Linked DNA regions of Daphnia pulex. The protein of the gene in region 2 interacts with the protein of the main gene of each other region in a pairwise test. Links are inferred from orthologs where the notes say so. Each region holds a gene or a part of one and is shown on either strand. Other genes may lie near its edges.

What was found.
Region 1: the proteins of centaurin-gamma-1A-like (region 2) and general vesicular transport factor p115-like interact in a two-hybrid assay, tested with the Caenorhabditis elegans proteins (2 studies listed by BioGRID). The link is inferred for Daphnia pulex from reciprocal best matches to the Caenorhabditis elegans genes cnt-2 and uso-1.

What each region holds. Positions count from the first base shown.
Region 1 is NC_060025.1:2,005,536-2,011,151, reverse strand, and holds the start of general vesicular transport factor p115-like, read left to right. Parts: upstream 1-1,885; 5' UTR 1,886-2,005; coding exon 2,006-2,074; intron 2,075-2,260; coding exon 2,261-2,634; intron 2,635-2,706; coding exon 2,707-3,005; intron 3,006-3,066; coding exon 3,067-3,182; intron 3,183-3,276; coding exon 3,277-3,661; intron 3,662-3,748; coding exon 3,749-3,957; intron 3,958-4,023; coding exon 4,024-4,146; intron 4,147-4,215; coding exon 4,216-4,326; intron 4,327-4,391; coding exon 4,392-4,563; intron 4,564-4,702; coding exon 4,703-4,779; intron 4,780-4,846; coding exon 4,847-4,948; intron 4,949-5,018; coding exon 5,019-5,261; intron 5,262-5,359; coding exon 5,360-5,428; intron 5,429-5,505; coding exon 5,506-5,616.
Region 2 is NC_060024.1:12,057,472-12,063,094, forward strand, and holds the start of centaurin-gamma-1A-like, read left to right. Parts: upstream 1-1,690; 5' UTR 1,691-2,778; coding exon 2,779-3,226; intron 3,227-4,504; coding exon 4,505-4,737; intron 4,738-5,623.

The DNA of each region.
Region 1 (5,616 bases), on a different chromosome or scaffold from region 2:
AATGGTGCCCATCGACTGAGAAAGAAAGGCCTCTGTTCTCGAGTTGACTACCTTAGCAACGACCACTGCAGACTGACGGTGCGTTCACTCGGTTTCCAAGCAGACGACATTGTTTCAACTGACGCCAGAGCCCTCTGTGCACAGAATCTTCTAGATAATTTGATTCTAATTACGTACTTGATCAACACGAAAGTTGATTGTAATTATTTTACATTGAACTGAAGCTATTTTTAAGTAATTTAAAGCGTGAAAATGAAAAGATTTCATTAGTTATGAATTAAATATCCATCGCCAGCCGTCGAGTGTCGCTGGTGTAGCGTGGTGTTTCTTTGTCCCGGATCCGAGAGTGACTACGTTATCTGTTGTGAACTTTGATGTTCCTTTCTTTGTCTGGGAGGGGTTTGCCAGGGTAATGGGGATATTGGCGTATAGTGTGTATTGCCCTAGCGGCCCACAGCAACAGTGACGTCACACGCAATCACCCCATATTTTTACTTCATCTTTTTTCTTTGTTTTCTTTTATTTAAACTCAACCTCTTTTTCTTTGTCTTGGGAGACTTGAATTTTTTTTTCCGGAGAAATTTTTCTTATCTCTTACATCAGCCATTTTTATTTTACTGTATCAAAATTTCCGAACTGGTTTTTTAAAGGCTTCTAGAAAAAACCAGAAGACGGAAAAAAGATAACAACGTTTTGCATGACGGACTGAATGAACAAAGGGCAAATATAAAACAAAAAATCCAAGTGAAATAAAAATAATAACGTAGGGGGTACTACAAGGAAGGGAGTTCCTGGTTTCCCTGCTCGACATCACGTAGGCTAAGGGCTTCGGATGGCAACAGCAACTTAAAACTACCGGTGAGCCAATAGCCATCCAGAGACATTGTGTTGTTGTGTATATTATATACTGTATATACTCTGTTGCTGACTGCTCACGGCAGTCCAGGAAGAGTTTGCAACCAGCAGCTGCCAGCCGGATGCGAGGTGCAGGGAAAGAAATGGATTAAAGTTGAGAAGAAAAAAAAGGTACGCTATATAATAGTACCACCAATCAATAATTCTAGCTGCAACAAAGAACTTTTTTTTCTGGATGTGCTAGGGGATATATCACAGTTCAGCCTTGTTTTCAACAGAACCCTGAAACGTTAAAATTCCATTTTTGGGAAAAAAGGATATGGGATTATAAGGATTTATAGCTTCCTCATGTCTACTGTGTGGTTGGCTAATGTATGCAAAAAAGATATAAGGCTGTTGGCAGCAGACTGGCAGCAGACCACTCGCTGCAAAATCGGGCGTTATAAGCAGGTATTTCAAGTTCTTGCGGATAGGGATTCTTTTTTTTAAAAAAACCTTTGACAACAATAAAAACAACAAAAGAACAAGGGAAAGGAAAGCCTTGGGCATGATATCCCGTTTGACACTTCCCACACAATTTGTGCGTGAAGGTCGAGATAGATCTCGTCAGTAGATAAAAATAATTTTCCAAACTAGAATTATACATGAATCTTTGTGGACCAAGCAGCAGCACGACCGCTGCTTACAGTGGTCCTCCTTGCTGCACGGTTCTTTGTTTCACCTGGTAAAAGATTGCCTGTGGCCAGCAGGCTGTAACCCAATCCGTTCTTCCCCTCGATCGATCGACAGGATGTCAAGTCTAGAATTATATTCGTTAAATATTAGACGCGGCACGGAGCGAAAGGATATCCTCAGCGCGTGATAGGATATGTATTTCAAATTAACAGAGAATTCGTCAAAAGGATCAAATTTGACCTCGAGCCAACACCCGATACCTGCGAATCTGTCAAATCTAACACGAAATCCCATTCAAAAAGCCCTCCCTAGTGACCGGCTCAACGCGGCCCATTTTAAATATCTGGCAACAAAGCCAAGCAGACGAAATTGGTTGAATCGAAATGACGTGTAACCCAAACGGCTTTGATTCCAAATTTAGAAGTAAATAAATAAATAAATAGAACTATTATAGACATACTTTCCCAAAGTCGTGATGGATTATTTTTTCGGCTTCAAGTCTGTCATCAGCCAGCCGGAAGCGGAGCCTTCTCCTGCTGACACGGTAATTCAATTGACATTAATTAACGTCAATCACTTAAGTGCAGTCGTGTCCTTGACCGTTTTCTTTTCTGATAAACAGCTGTGGCCCGTAAAATTCGATGGCGTGTGAAGGACTTTTTGAGTTTATTTTTGGGGGAATTCGTGTCAAGATTGCTTCTTTAAAATATTCTTTTTTTCTATTCATCAGGTGCTGAGACTGGTTGAGAGAGTCACATCTTCGACTCTGCTGGAGGACAAACGGGATGCCTGCAGAGCCATCAAAGCCCTTTCCAAAAAGTATCGATTGGAAGTGGGGGCCCACGGCTTGGATGCCTTGATTGAGGTGCTCAATGGCCAGCCGGATCTGGAGACATCCAGTTTCGTCCTGGAAACATTATGCAATGTAACTTCATCAGAGGTTTTTGAAGAAGAGGGTGTCGGTGCCCCAGTTGGAGAGCAGTTCACTGAAATCTTTCTCAAAAAAGCAGAGAATGTCATAAGCGTCATCACGTTACTAGACGAATATGATTTTCACGTTCGACTTCCAGCGATTCGTCTGCTAATGAACCTCTTAAACAACAAGTCAGTGTCTATTTTTAACTCGTTCATTATTTTAAAAAAAACCTTTTATTAATTATACACATTTTTTCACAGATCGAAAGAAATGCAGGAAATTGTTCTGGCATGTCCGATGGGTGTGGCCAAATTAATCGATATCCTCAGTGATAGCCGGGATTTCGTGCGAAACGAAGCCTTACTCCTTCTCATCCAGCTGACTAAAAGCAATGCCAACATTCAAAACATTATCGCCTATGAACGTGGTTTCGACCAGCTCTTTCAAGTCGTTCGCAGCGAGGGCTACAGTGACGGCGGTATCGTCGTAGACGATTCCCTACAACTTATGCTCAACCTCCTCAAACGCAACGCCTCAAACCAGACAGTCTTTCGAGAAGGTAATCCATCTAATTCATTTCAATTCGAATTCTATTTTAAAAAGTCGATTGCAACCACCAGAATCCTGCATGAAGCACATCACACCGTTTTTCCAGTCATGCCAACAGTCGGAGGGGGGTGATCCAACTGGCAGTTGGTCTATACAGAAGATTAGCAATGTACATTCCATGCTTCAGGTATAAACAAAATCATCATCGACAGCCTAATTCTATAAATAAAAAGGGAAAGAGTGAGAGTTAGTAAGTACTGTTATATATCTCTTCCCCACAGGTGGTAAGAACATTGGTATCTCCGGCCAACGCCACTCAAGTGGTGTCTCCAGCCCAGAAAAATGTGGCCGGCTGTGGTCTGCTTTCCGAATTGTGTGCTCTACTCATGTCGCCCGGCGTTCCGGCTGACATCCTCAGCGAAATCATCTGCACAGTCGGCGAATCGATTCGCGGCTGCCGGAGCAATCAAGAATTCTTTGGCCAAGTGATGGCCTCTTCGTCACCGCCGCGAACAGCCTTGGTCGTTCTCCTCATGTCTATGGTCAACGAAAAGCAGCCGGTGCTGCTCCGAGCGTCCGTTCTCTACTGTTTCGAGTGTTTCCTCTACAAGAACGATTTCAGTCAGGGACAGATTATCCAGGCACTTTTACCCACATCGGCAGAAGGTGAATAATAATCCCCCCCGCAAGAGAAAGTGATATCCAGCCGGCATGGAAACATTAAACCTGTTTTCTCTTTTTTTCGTATCATAGCCATGCAGCAAATTTCAGCTGGCCAATTATTGTGCGGTGGACTGTTCTCGACCGACTGCCTTTCTCACTGGCTCTCTTCCGTGGCACTCTCTCACGCTCTTGTCAACAACACCAACAACAGGGAACTGTTGCTAAGGGTGCACTTGGCTATCGCCAAAGATGTCGCACCCGTTTCCCTCCTACAACAAGCTTTTAGTATACTCCAATTGGTAAATTTCTTGATTCAAATTCATCTTGAACTATACGTTTCTGACTAACATTTATGTGTGTCTCAGGGTGGCAAGTTGCAGACTCGACTGGGTATTCTGACGTTATTGTCCACCTGGTTGGCAGATAGCCCCAACTCTGTGGCTCAATTTTTAAAACTCCCAAATGCTGTGGCATTTTTAACGGCCCTGGTAAAATCCCATTTCAAATTATCTTAAAGTATCTCCTAGTAAAAGAAAAATTGGGAAATGTTATCTTAGGTGGCTTCCAATGAGCACGACGACCAAGAGGTGCTTGTGCAGAGCTTGTGCGCTTTTCTCCTAGGACTCTGCGTGGTCTACAACAACGATGCAAACAGCAACTTTTCCAAGGTATATTTTCGTTGCTGCCCAGTTGCACCTAGTCATTTACTGTATTGAGTGTTATCGTCATGTAGGAATCCCTGTGCCAACTAATAACCAAGCGAATCGGAGTCGAAACATTCGTCGACAAACTTGCCGAGATCGCTAAACACGAAGTGTACAGCAAAGCCCTCAAACACCCTCAAATTCGGATCAATACCGCGGCTGATATCCAATTCGATCACGAGTTCTGTCGCTTGTACAAAGGTATTCAATTTCCCGCTGGCAGCCATGGCTACTCGATCAACGTATAGAGTTGACTGACAGGACTTGGATTGGATTTCATCTTTAGATATAGCTTTAACCAGTTCTTTTTTTTCCTTCTTGTGTTTCGTTCTATTAATAGGACTAGAGGGTGTCATTGCCAAAGCGGTGGCTCCGCCTACCAGTCCTAAAGGAGCCGAATCCCCGTCCGAATCGATGGTAGGTCGTAATAATCGTAATAATAATCGATATCTATGATACAAATATCTTTTAATCGGAATTGAAGGCTTTGGCCAAATACAAGGACGTCATTCGTGAGCAAGATGGACAGATACAACACCTGCGGCAGCGATTAGCTGCCTTGGAAGGGGATCACATAGCCGCTCAGGTATATTTTCCCGAGAAAACCTTTACGCTGGGAGAACAATTTCTTGATTTACCTTGTGACGCACTCTCAGAGCAAGATCGAAGAGTTGAACGTCAACGTGCAGCACCTCCAGGATCAAAATACATTGCTCAAGGCCCAACGGAACAATAACGTCATAATTGACGGAGGCGAGCCTTCAACTCCGCCACCCGAATCGTCGACTGACAAGTTGGTGAAAGAGCTGGAAGCGTTACGTCTAGACAATGAGAGACTTCGCGGTCAGCTGGAAGAGCAGCAACAAGCTGCCAATCACTACGTTGGCATTCCTCCGTCTGTGAGTATACATGTCATGATGCGGATGCATTTTGGGATTCCTTTTGCAGCTTTTGCATGGTTTACTGATTCAACACATATATTATCCGCTGCATGTAGAACGGAATCGCTGTCGAATTCGCTTCAACCCAATCGGCTTCCATAATGGATAGCTTTACCACGCATGAAGTATCAGCAGCTATTTTTCTGTTTGGAATCATTCCTGGATGATTGTCATCTCTTTTTTAATTTTATTTTTTTTTCAGGACGTCCAAGTGTGTTCGTTCTTTCGTCAACCGGAATCAACGTCGGCAGCTAATCCGCTCGAGCTAGAGCTCAAAGCAGTCAAGAGTCGACTGGAAGCGATGGAAGCGGAA
Region 2 (5,623 bases):
TTATTTAGATACGTACGTTTGATAAGAATACGAAGAGTTGCGTATAATATTTATGGGATAGGATAGGGGGAGATAGAGACGCATGGAGAAATAAGATTTCTGCGTTTTTCTTCTTTGTCGATTCTTCTACGAATGCCGACACACATTGCGAGTTCCCCCCCTCTTACATAAGAAGGGGGGCTGCTGCTAGGTTAGCTGCTCCAGCATAGGGATTTTCATCTCTCTATCAAAGTATAGTATACACCTTGAAATCGGATCAATTCCGAAATTTCTATGCGTCGGTTTGCCGAACGTTGAGCTAGACGCGTCCCTGCTGATGCTCGACTTTGAATAATATGCACGGCCACAAGACGCGAGCTCCTTGTGTCCTAACAAAAGAAAAATAGAAAGAATCCCCCAAAAAGTAGAGAGACTCTGCTAGGAACAGTTACCTTTTTTTATTTCTATCCACCTATATGTATATGCAAGGAGAGAGGTCCTCTTGTGTGTGTCGTCTTGACGGATTTGTCAACGGCGTGTTTTTCTCTCTCTTTATGAAATAAGCAAACAAACCCCCACCGGAATGAAAAAATAAAATAAAAATGGATTCAACGTCTCTTTTCTTCCTTTACATCTGGCGAAACTAGACCAGATTTTTCTTTTTTCGTTTTTGATTTGAAGACAAATACATATATGATGGATACGTCACACATTTTGATCGGGAGAAAAGAATCGATCATTGTGTGCGCACCGTGTGTTGTTGATTCTTTCCTATTTTTATGATTCCGGACGTCCCACTAAGAAAAGGAAAAAACCTTTTTCCCTTCAGACTCGTGTGTGGAAAAATATTTTTGGACAAGTCACCTTCTATGTGTGGAGCTACCGGGTTTTTGTTTCGTCCGTTGTTGTTGTTGTTGTTGTATTGAAAGGCTACCAGCGTCCGTCCCCATTGACAAAAAGTCTAGAAGAAGAAGAAGAAGGAGGAGGTTCTTCTTCTTCTTGTATTTTTCCTGGTTCGTCATCGTCGTATTTCCCATCTGTTGTTGAATCGGCCGGAAAAGAGAATGGGACACAAACATTGCGGGGCGCCTCGATTCGACCACGGGCCAGTTTTTACCTTCTTCTTCTTCTCCTATTGGAAGAAAAGCGTTTTTCATGAGGACACCTTTTCCTATATACCATCTAAAAAGAAGATAATACACAAGGTACACCCAAAATCACAGAGACATTCACGTTTGTGTATATACCACCATTGACACAATGGAGTCCCCCCGAAAAACCCCGGCGTGCGCCTCGATGCCCCGCGTAGTTGTTCCGACGGACGACGGTCATACTGAGGGCTCTCTGTGTCTGTGTTATGTCACCAACCATATAGTAGAGTCTCCCTTCTTCTTTATTTTTTTATTATCACCTCAAAAGTATTTTTCTCCATAGAAAATAGAGTGGAAAAAGAGGTTTTTTCTCCTTTTTTCTGTTATGTGTGTACGGGCACGCGGTTGGCGCGCTCCGCATAAATAAAATACCCACCAACAGACGGACCCGACGACGACGGGCTCAAGGCGGAAGAAAAGAAGAAGCTAAGGTTCTTGGGCGCACAATACCTTCTCCGATTTCCTCCTCTTCTCTCTCTCTACCCGCAAAGGGAAGAAAGAAAAGAAAAGAAAGTCCTTCCTTTATTTAGTAGGCCTTATAGCTCCGTCGTCGTCGTCGTCCTTCTCCTTTTACTCTCCTCACCCCACCAACCGGGGTCCCACCTCCGACGCGACGCGCGTATTACAGGAGACGACCGGCGCGCTCCATCGCCGGGTGGGCAAAAGAGAAGGGGGGTGGGGGCACACGGATGGGGTGGAGTGTCGTCGCACTATACGTACTACATCCGTCCCTGACTCACCTCGTTGAGGCTCAGTCGCTCACCGGCCGTCGTTCGGCGTCAACCGTTTTCCCCCCTCCACTCTGACGGACAAACTTTTCGTCTCGTGTGTTTTTGTGTGCGTCTTGAATTTGAAATAACAAAAAAAAGTTGAACCGTTTTCTCCCAATTATTTTGGGGAGTTTTCCAATCGTTAATCGCTAATCAATGTGAAGTGGTGCGGACTGGACGAAACTTTTTTTTTCAAAAAATATTTGTGAAAAGAAAAAAAAGTTCTGAAAATTTCCGTTCGATTGACTTTTGGAACAATTTTTGGGGGACCAACCCAAATGACGACGTCCCGTGTTCCATCGGCTCTGTTCGGGGCGAGAAAAGCTCAGCCAAACTCCGTTGGTGGTCGTTGTGGTGGTACTAGTGCCGGCCCATTGGATCTAATTCATAATCATTATTAGTTCTCTCTGACTTCTGTGGGGGTTGTTGGAATTGAAATCCAAAAAAGAAAGAAAGACAAATCTTTTCTTTTTTGATTCCTCACGTCTCATTATTGTTATTGGTTTTGACGGGAGTGCCGATTGTTGTTTTGTGCTCGTGTTGCGATCGTCACCGCGGGGTCTCTCCCAACATTATTATATGATTTTTTTCCCTTTGCGCCGATTTCTCACGCGTGAGTGAACATTTCAAAAGCCAATCGAAGGGCGGAAAAAAAGAGAGAAAAACGGAACAAAACGGAACTGCTGGCAGAAAAGCCAATCGACAGGAAGTCATTGGTCGATGCCAACAACAACCCAAAACATTTGTGGAAAAAAAGAGGCGCCTCATTAAAAATAATCGAAAGAAGAACTTTTGTGAGCGCGTTGGAAATCGGTTGGAATCGTGCCGGTTTTTCTTCTTTCTTATTTTTCATTTCGTTCGTCCCCGATTGTTCGATAATGAAGAACCACAGCGGCGGCCTGCTGGGCGATAAATTGCCCTTCTACCAAAAAGTGCTCAACATGACGCTGGGCATCAGCGTCCAGAGCTCGGCGTCGACCCGCAAGGCCGAGGAGCCGCTGGCTCCTTCGCCGTTCAGACGCGGGTACACGCGAGCGGCGGCCTCGGCGGTCGGCCGTCCGGGCATTCCGGTCACGCCGATTCACGTCGTGACGACGACGCCCGGTCACCCGGCTCACATGGGAACGGGAGGCGGAACGACGACGACGCCCGTCACTCCCAGCACGCCGACCAAACACGGGTCGACGTCGACGGCGGCCAGCATTTTCCGATCCTTCCGCCGGCGATCCCTGCGCCGATCCTTTCGGCGAACCAAGTCATTTCTGGTCAAAACTCCTACGCCCGCCACCCCTACACCCACTCCGACCATCACCAGTATCGCCACAGGTATAAATGATTACGCAATACAACGATTGGCCGGCCTCCCCCTCCTACAGTTGAAAAGTTCTAGTCAAGTAGTAGACTGGGCATCTGCTTTTCCCGATGGAAATTCACTTGAGTTTTCAAATCAGGTCCATTGAAATGCTTTTTTATGGTAATCTGATTTGCTGATGAGAATGCGCCCCCATCATTGTCGTCTAACGTTATTAGATTGTGATGATTGCTGCATGCCGAATGGCGAGAAGAAAACCGGTTTCACCCACTTGTGCCGTTGTCTGTTGTATGTTTTTTTTTATTTCCCTACTTCATTTTCATTGTGGGGTCGGTCATGTTGATTGACGCGTGGAAGAGGCCACTATGTGCTGGGTTGTTTGTATTCAACTGGAAGGAAAGGCCAGGTGGATCCCCCGACCAACGTCTGGTTATCTCTCCTCTCGCCAATGCGGGGGATTCTTGTTTGAACAGCTTTTTCAGGGAAAATTATCAAATTGTTAGAATAATAACACGTGGAGTAGAAAAAAAAGGCTATATTATTTCCACTAACCAACCCCCTGTTCTTCACTTTATCTGCGCCGGATGCAGGCGGATGAGAGTGACGAATAAGGGGGGTATCCTCTAAAAAAAAAGTTGTTTGAAAATCCATCAAGTTGTTAGTTTTTTTTTTGGTGGGGGGTTAGTTTGATTATTGATGAGGAGGGATGTGCAAGTCTTTATTATCATTGGAGTGTGCTGCGAACAAACCGGAATCTATCTCTTGTCTGTCGCTTTTTTTTTCTTCTTTTTCATTTGATATAATATTAGATTTTTTGTTGGGTTGGTTAGGTTGGTTGATGGGGGGGTTTACTTGTCGACCGATCGATCACTAAAAAACTCAATGGCCCCCGTACCCGTGTGTGTGTGTGTGTCGAAATTCGTTTCGATTATCTCTCCTGTCGTCCAACATGTAACCAGCGATGGATTTTTGGGAGCGTGCCCGCGCTCTACTCCTCCTCTCGGCCCCGCCCTCTTCTTAAAAGCTTCTTCTTCTTCTTCTTCCGCCCTTCGAAAATTCAACAAAAGAGTTTTCTCAATAAGCGCTCGCCATTCGTCTCACACAGAAACTTGTAATTGTCCGTCAATGTCCTCCTCCGCAGTCCGCGGAAGCATTTCGTGTCCATCGCCATTGCAGCATTGACATGTCAATTTCCAATTGAATAGTTTGGGAAATGGTGTAACGGTCGAGTTGCAGAGTTGGTTGAAAAATGTGATTTTAAATTTCCATTTGATTTATTTATTTTTTGCCAGATTCGTTCGTGAATAGTCAAGAATGGACGCTGTCCAGAGCGGTTCCCGATTTGCGTTTGGGCATCGTCGGGTCGCTGGCGTCCGGCAAATCGGCCCTGGTCCATCGCTACCTCACCGGCTCCTACATGCAGGAGGAATCGCCCGAAGGCGGCCGATTCAAAAAAGAGATTTCCATCGACGGACAGTCTTACCTTCTCCTCATCCGCGATGAAGGCGGATCGCCCGAACTCCAAGTAAGTTAAATTTTAATTTAAAAAACAAAATTTTGTGTGTCGAATTTGTTTCCAAAGATGGAAAGAAAAAACATAACCACACACAAAAGTCGATTCATAAAGGCGATGAAAATCAATCTTTTCACGCCTGCTGTCCGGTTCCTTTTTTATTTACGAGTATATTTATTTTTTAACACAATAAGGACAAAAAACATTTTTTTAGTCCTATAGAAAAATTTTAAAAAAGGAAAAAGGAGTTTATTAAATAAAAAAAAAATGTCCCCTTATATTTTTTGAATCGTTTCAATAACACAGCCGTGTTGAAATGTGTTTGGGTCACGGCTAAAAAAATAAAAAATAAAAAGCGCCGGGTTATAGTATAACCTTTTGATAGAAATAATAATAACAACACGGCCCCGAAATTATCTAGGGGACTTTTTTGGCGCTGTACATTTTTCATATGAAAATATTTTTTTTTAGGTGATAAAGGGGGTGTCATAGGGGGCCAGCTAAATCCCATTCCAGGCCCAACGTTTAAGAGAAGGTGGGCCAACGCTCGTAAAGAAGAGAGAGAACAAAAAAAATTTGAATGGCTTGGGCAATATACACACATAGAGACGGGCGTACACTCGCAGCAACTCGTTCACTACTAGTCACGTCATGAAGCCGTGCCGAATGGAGGGCAGCAGCAGTCAATTTTTATGGGCACATTCAAAATATCATTTAAGATAGACGAGCAACAAAAAAAGAGGGGGTGTACCATATGACGTGCAATATCGTTCGGGTTAATTCAATGTCGTTTTTTTTTTGTTAGTCCCATGTACGCAATATTACAGCCTAGCACACACTCTTGATACACATTTTCACGTTGTTGCTACATTTGGGGCCGAGGTATACATAAGAGAGT